2 linked regions of the Elephas maximus indicus genome follow. The main gene of each other region encodes a partner of the protein of the gene in region 2 in a complex. Links are inferred from orthologs where the notes say so. Each region holds a gene or a part of one and is shown on either strand. Other genes may lie near its edges. The genes, in order: IRAK4 and IRAK2.

Region 1 (12,519 bases), on a different chromosome or scaffold from region 2:
AGGGATTCCAAGGAGCGGCTGGTGAAGTCGAACTGCCAACCTTTTGGATAGCTGCCAAATGCTTAACCACTGCGCTACCAGGGATTCACAGCCTAGCCAAGGTGACACGAATTTTTGGGGAACACAATTCAATCCATGACAAATTCACTAGCCAATACCATGCCACCTGATTTGTATACAATATTTCATATAATCCTCACAGTGATTAAGGTAGTGACATTGTTTTATAGTTTTGCAACTCTCTTTAATGTCTAACTTAATAGAAGATAGCCAGATTCTCGTATCTGCTTCTACATTCAATCTGCCGCAATGTATCATTTTGATTGATGTATACGGACAATCTAGCTTTATACAGACGTATAATTGAAAAAGAGTGGAGGATTTTAACAGTCTTTTCAGAAAGTAGTGTACATTATTCTTTGATTCTACACTAAAACTTGAAAAGTGATAATTTCTTAAAGGTCAGCTGCAATGTGGATCTGAACCATACCAATGAATTTTTTTTTACATTAAAATCTACTACACTCTTAATGTATCTTTTACCTATACATGATTTTGATCTAAGAATCTCCTGAGTCTCAAGAGACTCTGCTGATGTAAGGGCTTGTTTTAAGACTTACACTAGTTTAAGATACAAAAGGGATAGTGTATTAAGTGCAGGTGGAGAGTTCAGACTTGAATAAAACAACAACAAAAAAAAACCCATTGCCGTTGTGTCCATTCTGACTCATAGCTACAGAATGAGGCCTATTCCTGAAATCAGAAAGAGGGAAACAGGTTTGGATACAGAGATCTGAGAAGGGAGAGGGAGAGTTCTTACACAATACTATTTTCTCCATGAAGCAGGAGTTGAAGTCATCCATGGTTAGGTAAAAAAACTGCCCAAGCACCTTGAGGGCCACCTGGTAAATGGCTCCTATTCCTTTGAGCCCACATCAAAAGGCATTATTGGATTTCCCTGATAGTCATACATTTTGCTCCAAATGTCATCTGGAAATCCTTCTATTATAACAAGTACTATATTTTATTGCTTATGCATATGCCTTCTCTAATAGACTGTGTGCTCTCCTGGGCAGGGACTTAACCATATTCACTGTAGCAACTACTCAAAACATTTGTATTGAATGAGAGAAAGACTGAATATGTTTTATTAAGAAATTGTATGTGCTTACAGATTCTGCAGTTGTCTTATTCAAGTTATTTTTTCTTACTTGTAGATTTCTTTCCACAGTAAGAAGTATAAAGTTGATTGACACAGTTAATAAACATTGAACCGTTTAATAATCCTAGAAGCTAGAACTAAAATACAGGGAATTGAGAATAAAAACTGGCTACTGTAAGACCATGGGGCAGTGGTGGTTCAGTGGTAGAACTTCCATGTGGGAGACCTGGGTTCAATTCCCAGCCAAAGCACCTCATGCCATCACCCATCTGTCAGTGGAGGTTTGAGTGTTGCAAAGATGCTGAACAGGTTTCAGTGGAGCTTCCAGGCTATAATGGACTAGGAAGAAAGGCATGGCAATGTACTTCTGAAAAATAGCCAATGAAAACCCAGTGGATAACAATAGTCAGATTGCTAGAATCCAGCCCATGCAACCTCTCCCACCACAGGGAGGCACAGGACTCGTCAGCATTTCATCCCATTGTACGTGGGGTCACTATGAGTCGGGGGCTGACTCGATGGCAGCTAACAACCACAACATCGTGAGGCCAGAAGAATAAATTCTATACCTCTTCTGCAGCCAGATTTCTAGGAGAGGTGATAGTGGAGGCCTTTTGACCACTCTTCTACAAATATATGCCCAGAAGTTCTAAATCTCAGAATTTAAAATGTACTTCAGGCATACATTTATACACCACTCCCAACCAGGTATTTTTAAGAACATACACCGAAGTATTAGCAGGGGTTATCTCTTGATGGGAAACCTGACAGTGTAGTGGTTAAGAGCTATAGATACTAACCAAAAGGTCAGCAGTTCAAATTCACCAGATGATCCTTGGAAACCAGACTGGGCAGTTCTACTCCGTCCTATAGGGTCACTATGAGTCGGAATCGATTTGACGGCAACAGTTTATCTCCTAATGAGGTCCCTGGGTGGTGCAAACAGTTTGCACTCAACTACTAACTAAAAAGTTGGCAATTCGATCCCACCTAGAGGTGCCACTGAAGAAAGATCTGATGATCTGCTTCCTTTAAGACTGCAGCCAAGATAACCCTATGGAGCAGTTCTACTCTGTAACACACAGGCTCGCTATTGAGTCAAGACCAACTCAACAGCGATAGATTTGTTTGTTTTTTAAATCTCTTGATGGTAATTTTAATGGGTGGTTTCATTTGTTTTCATTTTGCTGGCCTGGATTTTCAACAATGAAAATAGATTATTTGAGCAAACATCTTAATTATTTAAAATACATCACCTCTTCAGAAATTGTTCAAGGTTTCACATTACCGCACTCTTGGGATTTATAGAGGTGGAACAGGAAATACTGCTTACAAACAAATAAGTAAATACAGAAATAACTCTGTGACTATTTCGTTATATCATTAATTCTCATAGTATAGAAAAATCATTCATATTTTCAACTAAGACAACTCAGACAAGCGCACATGGTGATGTGGCAATTGAGGAATATACTAAAATCAGCATCTGCTTCTACAACCCAGGGGGCTCTCATTAAATGAATTAATAAAGTTTTATGACTATGCTTCATTACTACTCGATCAGAAGGCCGGAGTGTAGAGGGGAGGAGAGAAGATGGACTTCGAGGGTGCGTGAGTTTGGGTTCTAATCTCAGCTCTTCCACAAACCAACTGTGACCAGGGTTAATAACTCAAATTTCTCCAGACCCTGGTTTCTTTAGCTGAAAAACAGAGATAGTAATATTTAACTCAAGAGTTGCCATAAGATTTAAGATCAACAAATGAAAAAGACCTAAACATAGCATACAATAGATGATCAAAAAAATACATATATTAAAAAAAAATTTGTTGACGTTGGGTTGATTCCGACTTGTAGCAACCTTATAGGACAGAGTAGAAGTGCCTCGTGGGGCTTCTTTCAAGGCTGTAAATCTTTACAGAAGCGGACTGCCACATGTTTCTCCTGCAGAGTGGCTGGTGGGTTCGAATTACCAACCTTTTGGTTAACAGCCAAGCACTTAACCACTGCTCCACCAGATATCTTTAAAAAAGGAAAATATCAGTACTTTTAAGACATGTATAACCTTTCTAAAACACATTCTTTACTTCCATGCCTTTGTAAGCAAAATATACCAGATAAATAACCTTTATTTTCAGACAACTGAACGCATCATTATGAACAAAAGCTGGTGATGCCTTCCGGACCTATTAAATTATACAGGGCTGTCCTTAAACATATATTCATAAATTATAACACATCTTTCTCGAACATGATCTAACTCAACGGTAAATGCTTTAAAACACTCTGGGTATATTAAACGTAAAATATCATTCATTCATTAAATATTTACTGTTTTGTGCCAGACATTGTTCCAGGCCCCAGAGATTAATAGGCAAGTCAGATCAAAAATACCTGAACTTGTGGAGCTTATATTCTAATTGCAGAAGACAGACAAAAAACAAATAATATCTAAAATACATTTATGGGCGTAGCGGAGTTCAGTGGTAGAATTCTCCCTCCCACACAGGAAATCTGGGTACAATTCCTGCAATGCTCCTCAAGCCCAGCCACCATCTGTTTGTCAGTGGCTGTTTGCGTGCTGCTATGATGCTGAATAGGTTTCAGCAGAGCTTCCAGACTAAGAGGGACTAGGAAGAAACGACCATCTCCTCTGTAAATGAGCCAATGAAAACTCTGTGGATCACAACAGTCTGGTCCGTTGTGCACAGGGTCGACAAGAGTCGGGGGCTGACTTGAGGACAGCTAACAATGGCAACAATAATATGTTTGATGGTACCAAGGGCAGTGGAAAAAAATAAACAGAGACCAGACTGTAATTTTAAATAAGGTGGTCAGAGTAGGCCTCAATAAGAAGGTGCCATTTGATCAATGGTTTGGAGGAAGCAAGAAAGCCAGCCTGTGAGATATCTGTGAGAAAAGTGTCCTGGGCAAAAGGAATAATAAATGCAAAGGCCCAAGTGGGCCCTTTGAGAAACAGCAAGAAGACAATAAGACTGAAGGGGAGGGAGCAAGAGGGTAGCAGATGTGGTTAGTAAGGTAAGGGGACCAGGTACCCAGATCTCATTTTTATTGACTTTGGTTTATCCTCTGAGTGAGATGAGAAGACAGATGAGGTTTTGAGAAGAAGCAAGACATCCACTATAATCATGTCTTAAAAGACACTGGGGCTGCTGCTGAAATTAAGTTATATTGGATTAAAGGCAGAGGAGCAGGGAGAGATCAATTCAACTACACCAACAATCCAGGTGGGAGATGCTGGAGGTTGGGCTAGGGTAGTAGAAGAGAAGGCACAAGTCCTTGGAGGATGAGTCTATTCTGAGGTAGAGCCAAAGAATCCTATGTGCTGATGTGGAGGGTGAGAGGACAGTACCAAGGTTTTTGGCCTGAACAACAGCTTCCTGCCATTTACTGAGATGGAGAAGAGACTAGAAGGTCTAAGTTTTGCCTGGAAGATCAGGAGCTCTGTTTAGACAGGTGGAAAGCAAAATCAAACGTTTACCATCAAAAAAGGAGAATAAAACAATTTCTAACTTTCTGTCAGTCTTCTTCAAGGATTATCCCTTTTTTTTTTTTTATCCCTAGAGAGGGGAAAAGCAGAATTTAATATCCTCTACTGTTTTTTTTTTTTTTACTGTTAGGGACTCCTTGGGCACTGGGCATATAGCATTTTGAGGCACTAATAGCGCTATTCTCATTCCAAATTGGCTGATGTGCTTGCTAGCTTTTTCAACGTTTGTTTTTTATCCCTTTGTCTCCTCTCTTGCTTCCACGCCGTCAGGTACACTTTTCGTATGTGATAATGTACTTACCTGTTTCTTACAACTCTTCACTCTCTAATGTCCTGGAAGCTTAGAAACTGGAGGAAACAAGCTAATCAGAATCGTGTGGAGCCTCTGAATGCCTCCCATCTCGGCCGCGTGCTGAGCTTACTTCCTGGTTTTTAGGAGACAAGATTTCATTTTGTAAACGGGTTCAGGGAACAAAAAGCCACAGAGTTGAGAAAGTTGAGGCGAGATTAGACGGCGCCACTGAACAGCTGGGTGACGGCTCTCTCGATGCCTCAGCTTCCTCCCAGTCAGACTAACTTGTGGATCTCCAGGGACTCACTCCAAATCTCGACGCCGGAGGTGATTCATGCAACCACTTCCTCTCTAAACTTTTCTCACTTTGAATATAAGGCATAAAGCGATCTGCAGCCCGAAACAGCCACCCTACTAAGCCTGGAGCAGAGGAGGACAACCTCCGGGTAGCAGGAAGAGCGGACAGCGGCAATCCCTTACCTGCCCGGGGCGTGGGGCACTGCGCGGGGGCGGGGCGCCTCGCGGCGAAGCCAGCGGCGGAGCAACCCGAGCAGCGGGAAGCAGCGAAGCGAGGACAGCACTTCCCGTCAGGCCCCGCCCCGGGCTCCGCCTGCTCCAGGCCCCGCTTCTTCCTCTCTGCGCCGTCAGGCCGCTCCACGAAGAACGTTTGGTTAAGGCGCTTCTTCACGTGGGAGCCTGCCCCTTTAAATACTCTCCCGGAGGACGGTAAATAGATGAGGCTTCCGGGCATGCGCACAGGGTTGTGCGGGGACTTACCTTCGCCTGGATGCGAGGTAGACCGGGTGTTGCGCGTTGCTTCTTCCACGGTGTGGGGATTGTGTTTGGGACGATGATAAAGCTTGTATTGGTTATCCCGATCCTTTGCCCCCCAGACGAAGGCGACGTGGGGCAGTGACACACCGAGGGGTGGGGACGGTTGAAGAAGCAAGTGGAGCTACTGGTAAAAAAAAAAAAAAAAAAAGTGTGTTAATACCTCAGGGAAGAGTGAGACGGCGACACAGGCTTTAGTTCTGCTTCTCTGGGAACCCGTTCGGCAGATATTGCACAGTTGGAAAGGAAGAGCATGGGGAAAAGGGAGCTCTCTCTCTCATTTCTACTACTTTTTCAGGATCCCTCCTCAAACTAGTAGTTCTCCAACTTTGGCTAAACCAAACTAAATCCACCTCTACACCCCAAATCCTCATCTGCAAACCCTGTTGCTTAGGAGTCTTGCACATTTATACTTAACTCCACGTGGGCTCCTTGGCTGCCCTCCAGTTCGGTTCCAAACCCTTTTTAAGGTTTTCCAAACTCTCACCTCCAAACCTGTCTCACATTTCTGCCACACTTCGGTTTCTGCATTTGTCCGCTCTTGTCCCAAGATGCTCGCTTGGTTGGTATTCCCTTGTTGTTGCCTTCCCACCCCTCCCGCCCTCCACCTTGCTCTACTTACCCCTCTAGTTTAAAATGTCTTCATAGGGAAAGAGATCATTGTTTCCACGGCCAGTTTCTGCAGCTCTACTCTTGATCACATCGCTGTTTCATCAGATGCATACTGATCAGTACCATCAGAGTCATTTTACTAAATCATCTTTTGGATTATGTCGTTCTAAGACATCTGCAGTTGCCATCTATTGGTCACCCAGTGGATTCTAAGTCCTTGGCAGGGCATTAGGTGTCTTCCATAGTCTGACGCTAATCTAGCTGTATTTTCCAGAACTGTACTAGAAAAGCCCCCCCCCCCCAATCTGGGATGTTTATTTTTCTCTAACACATTGCATCTTTTGTACATTATTTGATGATATTCTCTCTGCCTCATTTCTATATCTCGAACCCTTTTTAGGCCACACTTACTTAGATGACCACTTCTTGTGTTATACCTTTCCTTATTATCACAGGCAAAAGTGAGCCATTCTTTCCTCCTCTTTACTCTTACAGCTCATATTTTGTACTAGTGGCGTCATTCAACAGTCAATATGTTGAATTGTGTGCCTAATATGTGCTTGACACTGTTCTAAATGTGGGGTAATCAGTGATAAATAAGACAGACATCACAGAACTAACATTTTATTGAAACAATGTAAATGACAAAGAAAATATTAAATAAAAAAGCTATAAAGACAGTTAAAATAAGGCTTCGTGAAGAGAGTGTGCTAGTTTCTTTAGATTACTCGTCAGGGAAGACCCCTCTGAGGATCTGATTACTAAAAGGTGCAGCTATATAATTGGAGAAGGGACAATTTCAGCTGCAGAAACAGTTAGTTTAAAGGAACTGAAGAAGGCCAGTATAGCTGGAGTGTAATGGATAATGGGGAAAGGGTACAAGATGCTTTTGGAGAATAGACAGGGTCCAGAATCATAGTCTTTGAAAACCAGGGTAGGGAATTTGTATTTTATTAATACATGTGAATGGAGTGTTTTAAGCAGGGTTCTGATATGATTTAATTTACCTTTAAAAGTACCATTCTGGCTGTTTTGTGGAGCATGGACTAGAGTGAGTCAGTAGTAGAAGCAGTGATTAGAGACCTTCACAATGTCTAAGATTTTCCGGAAGGGACGTATTAAGTAGGGCTGATGGAAAGATAGCAGGGGTGATCAGAGAACTAGATACTTAAAGTGCAAGTTTTGTAGGTTGCAGTTTATGGAAATGAGAAGGTGTGACCACGGAAGGGGGTGACAGATGAAATTGACTTGGGAGATTGAGGAACTGAGGGACAATGATATTGAATGAAAGATGGATGTGGATGATCATGGAAGTCGTGCTGGATGTGAAGATAGTAAGCCAGGTGTTAAAGTCATCAGTGAATGAAGAGTAGTCCTCGGGATTAGAGTGAAGATGACAGCAGATGGTAAAGCCTGATGGCATGAACTTCAGAGGCACTGGGAAGTTTGAAAGTAGAGGAGGAAGAAATAGTTTGGAAGGAGCAGTGGGAAATGGAAAATATTTATGACCTCCAGACCTAAGGCACGTGGCGTGTGAAAGGAAAAATAGCCTTTGCTTGAGAGGACTGCAGAAGTAGTAGTCTGGGGAAACAGCCGGGTTTCAATTAGAGCAAGACACTGAAGGGGATGCAGGAATTAAGGAATTAAGTAAATATCCTTGTATATTCCCTGGGAAATTAGGATATAGAAAATTTGCTGTAATTTCTACATGGCACAATGGAAAGAATTGAGAAGAGGAGGCTGGTAAATTGTTTCGGATTAGTAGAATATGTTGTATAAATGGGGGTGAAGGCCCTGATGATGATAAATTTCCTAGAATGTGTGGGTTTGTGATGATCTGACTGGTATGGGGTCTCTGGGAAACTGACCTTTATCATAGCTCCATGTGGTATGGTAGCCGTGGGTTGTTTGATGAGTGAGTAGTCTTCCTCAGAGGACTATTCTTTTGTGTACTGCTCCCACAAAGCTCTATAAGGGTCTCCTTTTCTCTGATGGCAAAGATAATGATGGTTGGAAATCTCCTTGGGATCAACTTCAAAAGTTCGTGTCTGTCCTAATGGGGGCTTTAGAGAAGGCTTAAGGCCCGGGACTAAATTAAGTCCTATTTCTTTCTATCTTCTTCTTGTCTCCTGTCCCTGCACCCTTAGCATATGAAACTCTAGTCCTAAGTTCTCTGAAATTAATGAAATTTTCAACTCTACGGATGGGGTTTGGACAAATCATTGTAAACAGTCCTATGTTCTAGTCTATTTTTTGTGGTCCTACAAATACTATTTGTAAGGTAAGCTTGAAACTGACCCATTTAAAATCCAGGTAATAGATGGAAGTCTGGGGTAGATGAAGAGTCAAGTTTTAAGTTATATTAGAAAATGTTTGCCTATTCATTCATCTTGGTGTATGAGAGTCAAAGAACACATGGTATATATTCATGAATTAATAATTCTATTTAAGAGAACTCAGGATTGAAAGGGACAAAGAGAATTAAATAAATCCAGCAAACCTGTTCCTTTTTTTGTTTTGTTTTCCACAACTTCTCTTTCTGGTAACTGACTGCCTCTTTGTTTCTTTTGTAGACATTATTATGTAAGAATGGAAGAGGATACAGATTATAGAAACAGGTTCAGTTCTTTGTGTTATATTACTGATCATGCTGGATTTCGTGGCACTATAAAAAGCTCACCAAGGGACTTCGTTGTTACTGAGATTGATGAGCGGGGACAGTTAGTTAATAAAGCCAGTGATGAACCTCTGTACGAGATTAATAACATACTACCTGAGCCAAATAATTATGCCAAAAAACCAAAACTAGACCTTCACAATTTATCCTTTGAAGGTGGGCGTAACCAAGAACTTGGTACTTTAGCTAGGTGTTCCGATGGTGACCAAAATCATCAGTCTAGTTCAGAAAATGAAGATATGATCAATAATGGAGCTTCCAAATGTGAAGAAGAAAAAGCTGATATATTAGGCTCCTTATTAGATGAAAAAACTAATGAATTACTGAATCAGTTTGCTTGTGATGTAAAAGAGACGTGGAATTCTAAAATTGAGCTAGTGGGACCATCTCCTGAATTCTCGTTAGGCAGAATCCTTGACAAAAACCAGCGGGCCAGTTTACATAGTGCTGTTCGGCAGAAATTTCCTTATTTAATAACTGTAGGAAAAAACAGCGAAATTGTTGTAAAACCAAATCTTGAGTATAAAGAACTCTGTCACTTGGTGTCTGATGAAGAAGCATTTGACTTTTTTAAGTATTTGGATGCAAAGAAAGAAAATTCCAAATTTACCTTTAAACCGGATGCAAACAAAGACCACAGAAAAGCTGTCCATCATTTTGTCAACAAGAAGTTTGGAAGCCTCGTGGAAACCAAATCCTTTTCAGAACTGAATCACAGTGCTGATAATCCAAATGTAGTGATAACAGTAAAGTTTCGGGAAAAAGCACACAAGCACAGGAAAAGGTCTCATCTTGAATGCCAGGAAAGAAAAGTCATATATACAGGTAATTTAATAAATCATTGTTTTCTTGGATAAGCTTAAAATTGTATGAAAGTTGAATAATTTTAAATGAATTGAACAGACCTGGCCAAAGGGATATTTGAAAATAATATGAGTCTGTCTTTTAATGGAAGATAAAATCTTTCATATTATACTAAGTGTAAAAAATAGCCTTACTGATGAAAGTATGGTTAAAAAAGAGAGGTATGGTTAACACAGTTACAAATATACAGTATAAAGTTGAAGTAGTTTTTTATATCTAATAAGCTTTTTTGGAGGTAAATCTTAATTTCATATTTTGAAAGTCATCTTAAATAAAAATAAGTGTTTAGAAATAAACAGAACATGTATGCTATGCTTGGAAAAGTAGAGCGAATATCTTGTAATCCATAACAATTAAACTTCCCTGCCTAAGGAAAGGCATGAACCTGAAAGCTTTTACAGAGTACTCCTTGATTTGGTTGGGTCAGTCTTTTAGAGAAAAAATTCTCAAAGCTTAGTCATTATAGTCATCCAAAGAGCTTGTTAAAACACAAATTTCTGAGCCCTGTTCCCAGAAGGTTTGGGGTGGCGCTTTAACAAATTCCAGGTGACACTTTTGCTGATGTGGGGACCACATTTTGGGAACTGTTGTTTTAGGGGATATATATTCAACTTCTAGGGTGGAATAGTAACTGGTGAAATCTCACTCTACAAGTCTGGCTGATCAGATTTAATTGGCTTATATCCTACTTGAAGGATGGGAAATGTTTACTGTAGGGCTGGGGCAGCTCACCTCTGTCACATGGGGTCTCTGTAACTGGAAATCTCATTGATGGCACCTAACAACAACAGCAACTATGTAATTGCAATTTTAGCATGATTATTCTGTGGTCTGTCCTGAATGCCCTTGCTATTTAATTAGGCCTCTCCTCTCTGGCTGGTCCCCAGCCCTATATAACACCTAATAACCTCGGGCAGGTTACAGGTGCACGGTAGTTCTTTATCTGGCTTGGTAGGGTGTGGCAGCTAGCATCCAAATGGGCCTCAATGATCCTTGACTCCTGGTACTCATACACTTTGTATTCCCTACCCAGATTGAATCAGGGCCAGCCTGTGTTACCAGTAGAATATGGCAGACAGTGTGTGACTTCTGAGGCTAGGTTACAAAAGGCATTTGATATCAGTCCTCCAATGGAAGCAAGACACTAAACCTTGAAAATACTCAAGAACCCTGTGGTGAGAAACTGAGGCCTCCCACCAACAGTCAGCACCAACTTCCAAGCCATCTTGGGAGTACACCTTCTAGTTTCAGCTGATATTTATTGCAGCCTCACAGTAGTCCTCAGGCCAGAATTGCCCAACTCCTGAATCCCTTACCCACAGAAACTGTGTGGGATAGCAAATGATTATTGTTATTTTAGGCCTTTAAGGTTTAGGATGATTTATTGTACAGCATTAGGTAACTAATAGAGATTTTGGTACCAAAAGTAGATTGAAGCTGTAACAAAAGCCTAAAACCTGTGGTTGCAGTGCCTTTGGGACTAGTTGGTGGACAGAATTTTGCAGGGACCTCAAAGAAGCTGTTAATGAGGGTTTAAAGAAAAGTGAGGAAAATATTACTGAAATAGATGAAAGGGATCGTTGTTATATAGTGGCATAAAATTTATGGAAAGTAGAAAATTCATCTAATAAGGAGGTGCTCAACATCCAGACCAACTATTGATGTTGCCACCTAGCTTCTTACTACTTAGTTGAAATTCTAAAAGAAAAACTGTTAGATACAAAAGAGCCAGGACTTGCTGGGTTTGAAAATACTTTTTTTTTTTTTTAATTCCCAGCCTCTCTAGATGGCACATGATACTTATATTAAGAATGGCTTGTAGGCTAAGAGATTATCCATGGTAAGGACAACATGGTCTAATGAGGAGATCTAGGATGTGATTGTAAAATCCTTTGTAAAATTTCAGAAGGATCTATTACAGTGCTTCAGAGAATGGTTTATACAGACAAAACGTTCTCTAGGGATGACTCACAGATCTGGTATGTTAACTAGTAGTTCTTCTAAGAATCTTAGGGACATTTTCCCTCAGCAGAAGCCCCAGTAGGTGTCTTATGTTGACAGAATTTCTGAGTATATCTTTTGTCTGATGGAGTGAACTCATAGAACATTCAGACAGTTTTTGAGAGCAGCAAAGATGGTACAAACAGGGTTGGGCCTCCAAACTTTTAAAGGTAGGAATTCGGCTGAGAAGGAGCTTTAAAGAACTGCTAAAAGAAGTAAATAAAAGGAACGGTCTTTATATTATCAGTCTACTTTGACCAGTTTTTTTTTGACCAAACGGATTTGAGTATAAACCTCTTATTCCAAAGCAATTGCTTAAAGCAGCTGTCTGAAATAATAAAATAAAATAAAATAATAAATAAATAAAATAAAATACATTTAAAATGTACAAAAAATGATAACTTCATGATAGGACTTTTACAGAGTTTCAGTGAAATGACTATAAGATGTGGCCAAATAGAGCATAGAGAAAAATCAAAATATCAAATATTTTCATATCTATAAGATTTTGGGGATCATTTCACAAGGAGCCCTGGTGGCACAGTAGTTAAGTACTTGGCTGCTAACCTAA
Region 2 (13,146 bases):
GCTCTGTTTCTCCGGAGAACCCAGACTGATATAATCCCCTATAGTTAAAACTACACAGGGACCATCACTCCAAGTCTGGCTTCTTGATTCCTGCAGAAGTTCACCTGACTCAATAGAAAAGTTTGTCTATCTTCAAAGACCTCCAGAGCAGAGATGGCACAGTCTCCTGAGGTGACCCATCCTAGGGTCAAATGCCCCTTCTCCAGACTAATCTGACTCTTCCCTGGCTGGGAGAAAGGGAAGGCACTAAGGACCTTCACAACCATATGTCCCCTAAGCCTCTCAGCTGCCCTGCGAGGGTGGTATTACCCTTCCCATCTTAGAGATGAGGAAACTCAAGGCTCAGAGAGAGGTAGTCACTTGCCTAAAGTCACACAGCTGGCCAGGGGAAAAGCAGGACCGTGCACACAGGCTGACAGTGCACCAGTGAGCAAGATGAGACATCACCCAACGTAGGAACCCTGCCCCCAGCTCCTCTGGACACACCTGGTGGGTGACGCTGAAAGAAACCCATTGTACACGGGCTCTGACAGACTCCAAAACTATTTTCCCCAAAGGGCAAAAATGGATGCAGCTACAGCACAGGGAAATGAACAGGAGGCAGCCACATGATCTGACAATTGTCAAATCCAAAGAGGATGCATATCAAGTCATTCGTTCATTCATTCATTCTACAAATATTTATGGAGCACCCACTGTGCACCAGGCTTGTGACACGCTCTGGTGATGCTGTGGTATGTGCTTTTCTGAATCACTTCAAACGTCTTCCCCCAGACTCCTCAGTAACACAATCGGCTCTGAGGAACCACCTTTTTCTAACATGACCCACAGAAGCCAAGATTTATAGGACTGGAAGGATAACGGTAAACACTCATTCTGCACGAGTGGAAACTGGAGAGCACCATGACCCCGCATGGAGCAGCTAATGGGGGCAGAGCTGGCCCCCGTCCAGTGATCCGCTCGACAGGGAGAGTGGGCACACCAAGGCTCAAAGCCAGCTCCACAGGGTGAAAAGCAGCCGCACCCCGCAGTCTTCGCATCCTATGTCCTTAAGCTCAGCCTTCATTCAGATGGTCACTGACCACCGGCCCCCTTGCCAGGTGCTGTCCTAGGCTCTAGGAATACAGGCATGAATGAGCCAGGTGAGGCCCCTGCCCTAGGGTGTTTACATTCTACGAAGAGAGACCAAACCAAACGCATTGCCACAGAGTTGATTCTGACTCATAGCGACCCTTCAGGGCAGAGCAGAGCTGCCCCCACAGGGTTTCCAAGGCTGTACATCTTTACGGAAACAGACTGCCCCATCTTTCTCCACAGAGCGGCTGGCGGGTTCAAATAGCCACACTTTCACTTAGCCAAGCGCTTAACCACTTGCACCACCAGGTCTTCTTTCTATGGGGAGAGACAGACGTAAACAAATAACAAACAAGGTAATACCAAAGCATGTTAAGTGGAATGAAGGAAATAAAACCCAACAGAGAGTAGCAGAAGGGCAAGGACAGCCTTGTGAAAGAGATGACACGAGCCCAGAGCTGAAGAACTATGCAGTCAGCAGAATCATAGCCCCCAGAGATGTCCACATTCTAAACCCCAAAACCTGTGAATATGTTAGCTTACATGGCAAAGGGGCTTTGCAGAGGTGATTAAATTAAGGATCTTGAGATGGGGAGATGATCCCGGATTTTCCGGTGGGCCCAATGTCATCACAAGGGTCCTTATATGAGGGAGGCAGAAGGTCAGAGTCAGAGATGTGATGACAGAAGCAGAGGTCAAAAAGCAAGTGAGATTTCAAAATGCTACACTGTTGATTTTAAGATGGAGGAATGAGCCACGAGCCAAGAAAAACAGGAGACCTCTAGAAGGTGGAGATGACAAAGAAGCAGATTTTCCCCTAGAGCCTCCACAAGGGACACAGCCCTGCCGACACCTTGAATTCAGCCCAGTGAGACCAATTTCTAATCCCTGACCTCTGGAACAGTAAGACAATAAATATGCATGGTGTTAGGCCACTGAAGCTGTGGTAATTTGTTACAGCAGCAATAGCGAACTAATGCAGACTAATCAGCCATGTGAAATACACAGGGAAGAGGGAGAGGAAGCAGCAAGTACAAAGACCTGGAGTCTAGAACAAAGAGGCCAGTGTGGCAAGTGCAAGGTGAGTAACAGGGGGCGTGGAAGGACAGGAGGTACACCTGTTAGTGAGGATGTAGAGAAACTGGAAACCTCATGTACTGCTAACAAGGATGTAAAATGGTGCAGCTGGTTTGGAAAACAGTCTGGCAGCTCCTCAAAATGTTAGAGTCACCATGTGACTCAGCAATTCCACTCCTAGGCTACACACCCAAGAGAAATGAAAACTTATATCCACATAAAGACTTGTACATGGATGTTCTTAGCAGCATTATTCATAATAACCAAAAAGTACAAATTACCAAAATGTCCATCAGCTGATGAACAGATAAACAAAATGTGACGGATCCATACAATGGAATATCATACAGTCATAAAAAGGAATGAAGTTCTGATACACGCTACAACATGGACAAATCTTGAAAATATTATGCTAAGTGAGAGAAGCCAGAGACAAAAGGCCACATATTGTATGATTCTAGAATAGGCAAATCCATAGAGACAGAAAGTAGATCAGCGGTTGCCTAGGAATAAGAGGGGATGGAGGGCTGGGGGTGATGGCTAAGGAGTATGGGGTTTCATTTTGGGGTAATGAAAAGGTTCTAAAACTGACTGTGGCAATGGAAGCACAACTCTGTAAATACACTAAAAAAAAGTTGAATTGTACACTTTAAATGGGTGAATTGTATATGTGAATTCTATCTCAATAAAGCTATTTTGAAAAAAAGTTATAGGTGGGTCTTTTAAACGAATTTCCTAGAAACAAGTTGTTCTGGCATTCACAATTGAGGGCAAGGCAACATGGAAAAAACTAGAGGGCGGTCTACCCACAAAGCTTGTCCACTGTCCAAGAAACATTCCAAGTGGTTAAAGTCACAGATCCTCCAAACAATGGAACACGGTGCAGTCTTGAAAAGCAGGTGGAAATATATTCTCATATGTGCCATGACTCTCTGGAAAAAGTGACAGCCTCCAGGGAGGGGAATCTGGGAGGCTGAGGACCAGGGAGGGAAAAGAGGCTTACTTTCTTCTCCATCCCATTATATCATTTAACCTAGCACATATATTACTTTTTCAATTAAAAATAGTTAATGAAAATAACCTAAGTCCATGTTGTTAAAGAATATTGCTTTGGAGGAAGGGTCATTGCCTGGGGGCACTGAGTTTCTGTTACAGGTGACAGAAAATTTTGAAACATGTAGTGGTAATAGTTGCACGACGCGATGAACAAAATTAATGTCTCTGAATTATACGTGTGAAAATGTTGAAATGGCAAATGGCAAGGGAAAATAATTGTAATATATTTTAAGCGAAAAAGGCAAGCTATGAGATAGAATGGACAAAATGATACAATTTTTTTTAAAAAATACACACACATAAATAGATATGTTTAGGGAAAAAGGCAGGAAGGCATACAATACCTAGCATTTTGCCTGGCACATAGTTAAGAAGCCAATAAATATTAGCTGCTATTATTACTGTTATTAAAAAAAGTTATTAGCACCCAAATATTAAGAATGGTTATCCCTGAGTGGTAGAATTTTTCCTCCAGAGTATTTTGCAATAAGCATGTATTACTTTTGTTATTGGGTTACAATAGGGTTTCTCAACCTCAGCACTACTGACACATTGGGCTGGATAATTCTTTGTTGTAGCGGGCTGTCCTGTGCATTGGAGGATGTTTACTAGTCCTGGCCTCCACTCACTCAATTTGTGACAACCAAAAAGGTCTCTAAACATTGGCAAATGTCCTCTAGAGGGCAAATCACCCCCAGATGAAAACCACTGGGTTAAAATATATATTTCTTGCTCAAACTAGATGGATAACACATACATGTTCATTTTAATCAGTAGTATTATTTCAACTGTACCTATCTATTGTATATTCTTTTGTATGAATGGTATATTTCATAATTAAAAATTTTAAACAAAATTTATATACATTACAGCTAACCAAAAAGTTGGCAGTTCAAATCCACCGGGCAGTCCTTGGGAACCCTATGGGGCAGTTCTACCTGTCCTGTAGGATGGCTATGAGTCAGAATGGACTCAACGGCAATGGGTTTGGTTTTTTTTGGTATGGTATTTAAAAAATAAAAATGGTACCAGTTATACTGACTTAAAACTAAGATTTAATAGGTAACACTTCCTAATTACTCATATGAATATCTAACACTGAATTTGTTTAGGTGCTTTTTTATGCAATATTTTTATTCCTCACAACTTTATGAAGAAAACGTAATTATCATCTCCGGTTTACAGATGAAGAAATTGAGGCTCAGAGAGGTTAAGAAATTTGCTCAAAGCCACCAGCTGGTAGGTGGCAGAACCTGGAATGCAAATCTCTGCGTAGGGACCTGAGGACCACACACGAAGCCTCCCCCTAGATGCCAAGGTCACCTGATCATTCCTCTCAGCCAAACAGCAACGGAGAGGGGGAGGAGGAATCAAGGCGTTACAAACAAAGTAGTGTGTCGTGGTGGAGCCAGATCTCCGGGGTTCAAATCCCACTGCGCCACTGAGCAGCGGATTAAAAATACCTGTAAAGACTAAAACAGAGCCTGACACACAGTAATTGTAAATAGCTACTCTTAGGGGATTAAGTTTTACAGTCCAAAGAACAGCAAAGTAGAGGTGGTCATTATTTAGAGACAAAGAGCTGGGAGCAGCTGCCAACAGAAATCTTAGCGCCAGCGGACCTCAGAGATGACAGAACACCTTCGGGATAACCAAAGTAAGGTTCGGCGAGGGGACAGGCGTCTGCCTAGGTCCCACAGCGAGGCCGCTCCAGAAACCTCAGCCCGTACAACCCTCGGATCAGGACCCACTTGACCAGAGCCCCCGAGGGGGCTCATGGAGGGATGCTACGGGGACCGCTCCCACCTGGGTCCCACTCACCGAACTGCATCCAGTCCCACTCGCTGAGGGTGTCCATGTTGCGGCACAGGTCGTCCAGCACCCAGGAGGGCAGCTGGTAGATGTAGCAGGACATGGCGGGACTGCAACCTGCCGGCGGCCGGGCGGACGAGCAAGTGAACCCGGCGCGGCCACACTCCGTTTCTCTACAAGGGGCGGGCAGTTCTCTCCAGGAGCCGCTGGAGGTCCGGGAAGTGGGCGGGGCTGCGCCGGGGGCACAACTGCCCCCTAGCGGCCACAAGGGGAAGGACGCGACCCCACCTGCTTGCCCTGAGCAGCTGGCGATCCAAGGTGGGTCGGAACTGGGAGGGAAAAAAAAAAACCCAAAGGGGGTTAAGAATTCGAGTGTTTAAGGTCACATGGGATTTCAGTGGCAGTTGCAGGTGACCTTCGGACTCTGTTTCCAGTGCATCCTGCACTACACCACATACAATTCACTCACCAAATATTTTATTGAGTACCTACCATATGCCAGGCACTGTCTTACATGTGGAAACCTTGGTGGCATAGTGGGCAAGTGCTATGGCCGCTAACCAAAAAGTCGGCAGTTTGAATCCACCAGGCGCTCCTTGGAAACTATGGGGCGGTTCTACTCTATCCTATAGGGTCGCTATGAGTGGGAATCGACCGGACGGCAATGGGTTTGGTCTGGTTATGGGTCCTAGATGTTGGGATACATAAAAAGAAAGCCTATAAAATCCTTGATTTCACAGAACTTACAATCTAGGTGTGTGTGAGGGGGAGGACACTAGTAATAAAAATACTAATTACATAGCGTGTTAAAAGGTAATAAGTGAGATGGAAATAACCCGTGTCCATAAACAAATTTATGGATAAACAAAATGCAGTTCATCCATACAATGGAATATTATTCAGCCATAAGAGAAATTAAATTCTAATACATGCTACGGCAAAAGTTAACCTTGAAAACATTATGCTGAGCCTACTAAACATTCTGATCAAAACTCTATAGAAGAATCCTGACCAAAAGTGAAAAATGCAGAACGGAATTTAAAATTCTCATGGAATCCAAACTTTCTAGAGCCATAGATGCTAGATAAACCCCTGAAATTATTGCCCTGAGGTAATCTTTAAACCTTAAACCAAAAATATCCCCTGAAGCCTTCTTAAAACCAAAGACTACTACTACCTGCTGCCATGGAATCAATTCCAACTCATAATGACCCTACAGGACAGAGTAAAACTGTCCCATCGTGACCCTACAGGACAAAGTAGAACTGCCCTGTAGGGTTTCCTAGGAGCAACTGGTGGATTTGAACTGCCGACCTTTTGGTTAGTAGTCATAGTTCTTAACCACTGAGCCACCAGGACTCCAAATAACAATCTAGCTTAACTAGTAAAGAATGTCTGCCTTGACCATTGTGCTCTTTGAAGAGCTATCTATATGGCATTAAATTGACAACAGTAACTCAAAAGATTAGATAGGAACCTTAGAGGGCAATGAGTTCATGTTAATTGGGGAGGAACAACTCAGAAAAGGAGGGTAAGAATGGTTGCACAACTCAAAGAATGTGATCAGTGCCACTGAACTGTACATGTGGAAACTGTCAAATTTGTGTGTGTTGTGTATATTCTCAACAAATTATAAAAAAAAATATTTTGCCGAGTGAGATAAGCCACACAAAAAGACAGATATTATATGATTCAGCTTACATGAAATATTTAGAATAGGCAAATTCATAGAGACGGAAAATAGGTTAGAAGTTACCAGGGACCAGGGGGGAGAGAGAAATAGGGAGTTATTGTTTAATGAGTACAGAGTTTCTGATCAGGGTGATGAAAAATTTTGGAAATAGTGCTGAAGGTTATACAACACTGTGAATGTAATTAATGCCACTGAATTATATGCTTAAAAATAGTTAAAATGGAAAATTTTATGTTATATATATTTTACCACAAAAAAAAATTTTTTTATGTACACAGAAAAAAAAAAAAAGTCCCCCATGGGAATGTCAGCTCCATAAAGGGAGGAATTGTGTCAGTTTTGTACCTTACTGTATCCCTAGTGATAAAACAGTGCCACAGAGTAAGCACCCCCAAAACTATTTGTTGAATGAATAACCATCTATCGCTTTCTTTTTAAAAAGGCTATATAAGTGCAATTGCGAAAAAGAAAAAGCTGGTCAAGGAGAATCAAAGTTCAAACGGGGTTGGAGAATTATTCTGTATTAAATAGGGTATCAGGGTAGATTTTATAACAATAATAGTTAATACTTATTGACCACCTACTACATGCCCAGTACTGTTCTAGGTGCTGGAGATTCCTCTGAAAGAAAAGGACAAAATCCGTGCCCTCCTGGAGCATACTACCTTGTGGAGGGAGACAGATATTAAGCCATAAAAATACTAAATAAGTAAATAACTTAGCAATATGGAAGGTGATAATGTTAGAGAATAAAAGTGGTTGGTAGCAGCTGTAGGGTTGGCCCCTGACTCATAGTAACTTCATGCACGACAGAACAAACACTACCCAGTCATGTGCTATCCCCATGATCAGTTTCAGATCAGATCAGACTGTTATGATCTATAGGGTTTTTGTTGGGCCGATTTTCAGAAGTAAATCAAACAAAAGTAGAGTATGGTAAAAGGTACGAGGCTAATTGCATTATTATCTTAGAAGATAATATTATTGGGGGAAAGCAGAGTTTGGAAAGGGGAATTGCAGGACAAGTTTAATAATAGGATAGGAGGAGCAGAACTTATTACTTGAGCTTTTATCACCACCAAATTTCACCTGGCTTATTTTTTTATTTCACTTACTCCTCACAACAATCTGTGAGGTAGTTGTGGTTATTACCCCCATCCCACACATAAGAAAACTGAGACCGCAAAAACGGCACGTGTGCGTCCAATCTCCTCTAACTTCACAAGGGGGAGGAAAGAGAATCCAGATCCACATCAGCCCACGGCTGACTCCTATGAGGTGGAAGTCAAATGAAATGTTGGGAAAACCCAAGTTGCTTGGCATGACTTGTCACAGCCAATAAACAAGAGGCTGATATGGGAGATCACAAAGATGCTTTTATTTCCTTGGCAAGGAAAGGAACAGTCTGAGCTGCTGCCTCCAAGACTGCTCACAAGCAGCTTGGGGAGGTGAGCTTTTACAAAGAGCAGGCAAGGAAATGTAAATTTATCATGAATATTCAGGATTGATCTTCATGCAGGCACCCAATGTTTGGAGATGGCTATGCACTTTCTTTAGACAGGGGTTCAACTTCCTGGGATGAAGAGGTCAACCTTCTCTCACCGGTGTGTTAAGTCTCCATCCAGAGGCTTATATGTATTTTGCTCTTAATGAGCTAATACCAAACCAAACCAAACCTACTGCCCTGTGGATTCCTTCCGACTCATAGCGACCCTATAGGACAGAGTAGAACTGCCCCATAGAGTTTCCAAGGAGCACCTGACAGATTTGAACTGCCGGCCTTTTGGTTAGCAGCTGTAGCACTTAACCACTACACCAAAATAGGTCACTTAAAATGTCAAGATGGTGTTGAAGGCCTTCTAAAATGGGCTGAGGCCAGCTATGGCCCGTTTTGTGGTTATTTTGACAAGAACAATTCCAGGAAAATGTGTGAACTATTCTGCTCTGCGTAGGAGGATAAGCCAGAGCAGGTTATTCAAAGAAGAGTTGGGCTCTGAGGCTGCCTGCCTCAATACCTCCGCCCTCCAACGTTTTCACCAGTCATCCCTCCCATGCCACTCTCTACTTCTCTGCTGGGTTCGATAATTCGTTGCAATGGCCACACAGAGCTTACAGACAAACTCACAATTATGGGGTTTATTAGGGAAGTAACAGGTTACAATTCAGGATCAGGAATGACTCAGGATACAGTTCTTCAGTTAGGTCAGCTTCTCAGCTGTGCCAATAGGTAGGGCTCTCTCTCTTTCTCCCTCTCTCAGTTCCTCCACCTGTAGCCCTTGGTCCATAGCCTGGCCTCTGCCCTGCTCAGGCAAGTGTTACAAAGTTCTTTTAGCTCTGCCAGTAAGTGCTCAGAGATACCCTGCTCTTCCAGCAAGCTGCCTGCCAGAAGGCACTCAACTCTCTCACTCCGTGGGTTGGTACACCCACTGTAGCCACCTTGTTCTGTGGGCCAGGAAGCCCACTGCACCATCTTATGCCAGTCTCCTGATTCTTCTGCCACCATTTCTCTGCCACTGCTTCTCACCGTCTTGTACCATCTTCTTTCTTTCCTAGGTTACATCTCGCTCTGTTTCCTAGGTCTTGGAGGTTCTCATTGCAGGTACCCAGGTCCAAAGGACACGCTCCACTCCTGGGTCTTCTTTCTTGATGGTAGTGATGTCCACCCCTCTCTGCTCTGGGATTGGCTGTCTTTTAAGCTTAGGGTGATGGCAAAACAGACCCATCCGCTCATTAGGGTTCCATACACCTTATTTTCATGGTCCCACCCCCACAGGGGTTCCATGCACCTTATTTGCATTGTTAGCAGGCTGTCCAATCCCCTTGGTGGGCCGCAAACACTTTATTTGCCTAGTCCCACCTAATTATTCTGTGGGAGTCACAAAGGCTATAGCTGGAAGGGCTCTATTAAGTAATTCACTGCACCACACTGAGATACAAAGAGGTTAAGTAATTAGCCTAACATTACATAGAAACAAAGTGGCAGAGCTGAGATTTGAACATAGCAGTCTGGTCCCTTAATCACCACTGGCTACAAACTGCCTCTTTATTATAATAACTCTTTAGTTATACCTACAATGTGCCAAGGAGTCCCTGGGAGGTGCAAATGGTTAACACGCCCCACTGCTAACTGAAAGGTTGGCAGTTCAAGTTCACCCACAGGCACCTCCAAAGAAAGGGCTGGTGATCTACTTCCAAAAATCTGCCATTGAAAACCCTACGGAGGGATCTAGTATTTAACAACAGATTATCAGATAAGACAACAAATTTTGAACAACAAAAGTCAAAATAGATAAATGGGACCTCATAAAAATGAAATGCTTTTCTACGTCAAAGGACTTCATCAACAAAGTTAACAGACAAACTACAGTTTGGGAGAAAATTTTAGGAACCATATGTTGGATAAGGGCCTAATATCCAAAATATATATAAAACTTTTATAACTTAACAATAAAAACAGAATCCAATCAAAAAGTGGGCAAAGCCTTGAGAACAGGAGCCAGACAAGGATGCCCTTTATCACCTCTTACTCGACATTGTGCTGGAGGTCCTAGCCAGAGCATTCAGGCTAGATAAAGAAACAAAGGGCATCCAGATTGGTAAGGAAGAAGTAAAAGTATCTCTATTTGCAGATGACATGATCTTATACACAGAAAACCCTTAAGAATCCTCAAGGAAGCTACTGAAACTAATAGAAGAGTTCAGTAGAGTATCAAGATACAAGATAAACATACAAAAATCAGTTGGATTCCTCTACACCAACAAAAAGAACACTGAGGAGGAAATCACCAAATCAATACCATTTACAGTAGGCCCTAAGAAGATAAAATACTTAGAAATAAACCTTACCAGAGATGTAAAAGACCTATACAAAGAAAACCACAAGACACTACTGCAAGAAACCAAAAGAGACCTACATAAGTGGAAAAACATATCTTGCTCATGGATAGGAAGGTTTAACATTGTAAAAATATCTATTCTACCAAAAGCCATCTATAGATACAATGCAATTCTGATCCAAATCCCAATGACATTTTTTTAATGAGATGGAGAAACAAATCACCAACTTCATATGGAAAAGCAAGAGACCCCGGATAAGTAAAGCATTACTGAAAAAGAAGAAGAAACCAGGAGGCCTCACTCCACCTGATTTTAGAACCCATTATACCGCCACAGTAGTCAAAACAGCCTGGTACTGGTACAACAACAGATACATAGATCAACGGAACAGAATTGAGAATCTAGACATAAATCCATCCACATAGGAGCAGTTGATATCTGACAAAGGCCCAAAGTCAATTCATTGGGGAAAAGACAGACTTTTTAACAAATGGTGCTGGAATAACTGGATATCCATCTACAAAAAAATGAAACAAGACCCATGCCTCACACCGTGCACAAAAACTAACTCCAAATGGATCAAAGACCTAATAAAATCTAAAATGATAAAGGTCATGGAAGAAAAAATAGGGACAATGCTAAGAGCCCTAATACATGGCATAAACAGTATGCAAAACATTTCTAAAAATGTAGAAGAGAAACCAGATAACTGGAAGCTTCTAAAAATCAAACACCTATGCTCATCCAAAGACTTCACCAAAAGAGTAAAAAGACTACCTACAGACCAGTAAAAAGGTTTTACCTATGACATTTCCACTCAGCGCCTGATCTCTAAAATGTACATGATACTGCAAAAACTCAACTACAAAAAGACAACCTAATTAAAAAATGGGCAAAGGATACGAACAGGCTCTTCACTAAAGAAGACATTCAGGGTGCTAACAGATACATAAGGAAATGCTCACAATCATTAGCCATTAGAGAAATGCAAATCAAAACTACAATGAGATTTCATCTCACTCCAGTAAGGCTGGCATTAATCCAAAAAACACAAAATAATAAATGTTGGAGAGGTTGTGGAGAGACTGGAACACTTATACACTGCTGGTGGGAATGTAAAATGGAACAACCACTTTGGAAATCAATTTGTTGCTTCCTTAAAAAGCTTTTTTTAGTTGTTTTTTTTTTTTTTTTTAAAGCTAGAAATAGAAGTACCATATGAGCCAGCAATCCCACTCCTTGGAATATATCCTAGAGAAATAAAAGCCTTTACGTGAACAGATATATACACACCCATGTTCATTGCAGCACTGTTTACAATAGCAAAAAGTTGGAAGCAACCAAGGTGCCCATCAATGGATGAATGGATAAATAAATTACAGTATATTCGCACAATGGAATACTATGCATCGATAAAGAACAATGATGAATCCATGAAACATTTCATAACATGGAGAAATCTGGAAGATATTATGCTGAGTGAAAGTAGTCAGTTGCAAAAGGACAAATACCATATAAGACCACTATTATAAGAACTGGAGAAATAGTTTAAACAGAGAAGAAAATATTCTTTGATGGTTACGAGAGTGGGGAGGGAGGGAGAGAGAGGGGTTTTCACTAATTAGATAGTAAATAAGTTTTATTTTAGGTGAAGGGAAAGACAACACACAATACAGAAGAGGTCAATACAACTGGACTAAACCAAAAGCAAAGAAGTTCCCTGAATAAACTGAATGCTTCGGAGGCTGGTGTAGCAGGGGCGGGGGTTTGGGGACCATGGTTTCAGGGGACATCTAAGTGAACTGGCATAATAAAATCTATTAAGAAAACATTCTGCTTCCCACTTTGGAGAGTGGTGTCTGGGGTCTTAAACACTAGCAAGCAGCCATCTAAGGTGCATCAGTTGGTCTCAACCCACCTGGAGCAAGGAAGAACAAAGAACACCAAAGACACAAGGTAATTATGAGCCTAACAGACAGAAAGAACCACCTAAACCAGAGACTACATCAGCCTAAGACCAGAAAAACTAGATGGTGCCCAGCTACAACCCATGACTGCCCTGACAGGCAACACAACAGAGAACCCTCGAGGGAGCAGGAGAGCAGTGGGATGCAGACCTCAAATTTTCGTAAAAACACCAGACTTTATGGTCAGACTGGGACTAGAAGGACCCCGGAGGTCATGGTCCCCAGACCTTCTGTTAGCCCAAGACAGGAACCATTCCCAAAGCCAACTCTTCAGACAGGGATTGGACTGGAATATGGGATAGAAAATGATACTGGTGAAGAAGAAGCTTCTTGGGTCAAGTAGACACATGAGACTATGTTGGCATCCCCTGTCTGGAGGGGAGATGAGAGAGCAGAGGGGGCCAGAAGTTGCACAAATGGACACGAGGAGAGAGAATGGAGGGAAGGAGTGTGCTGTCTCATTAGGGGGAGAACAATTAGGAGTGTATATTAAGGTGTATATAAATTTTTGTATGAGAGACTGACTTGATTTGTAAACTTTCACTTAAAGCACAATAAAAAATCAATTTAAAAAAAGAAGTGGGCAAAAGACTTGAACAGATAGATAGTTCAACAAAGAGGATATTCAAA

The links.
Region 1: the proteins of IRAK2 (region 2) and IRAK4 are in contact, whole or in part, in a crystal structure (PDB 3MOP), measured with the Homo sapiens proteins. The link is inferred for Elephas maximus indicus from reciprocal best matches to the Homo sapiens genes IRAK2 and IRAK4. Residues at the interface, in NP_001561.3 of Homo sapiens: Tyr6, Ile36, Lys44, Met48, Glu59, Trp62, Trp63, Trp64, Gly65, Met66, Arg67, Gln68, Ala69, Gln73; in NP_001107654.1 of Homo sapiens: Asp24, Phe25, Pro28, Gln29, Lys34, Glu92, Phe93, Phe94, Ala95, Pro96, Ser98, Val105.

The regions. Positions count from the first base shown.
Region 1 is NC_064822.1:98,439,283-98,451,801, reverse strand, and holds the start of IRAK4 (interleukin-1 receptor-associated kinase 4), read right to left. Parts: upstream 5,533-12,519; 5' UTR 5,444-5,532; intron 5,097-5,443; exon of another isoform or gene 4,973-5,096; intron 2,274-4,972; exon of another isoform or gene 1,963-2,273; intron 1-1,962. Other genes in the region: pseudouridylate synthase PUS7L, read left to right, coding at 8,996-9,908.
Region 2 is NC_064838.1:35,036,924-35,050,069, reverse strand, and holds the start of IRAK2 (interleukin-1 receptor-associated kinase-like 2), read right to left. Parts: upstream 5,817-13,146; 5' UTR 5,123-5,816; coding exon 5,029-5,122; intron 1-5,028. UniProt on the Homo sapiens protein: Binds to the IL-1 type I receptor following IL-1 engagement, triggering intracellular signaling cascades leading to transcriptional up-regulation and mRNA stabilization.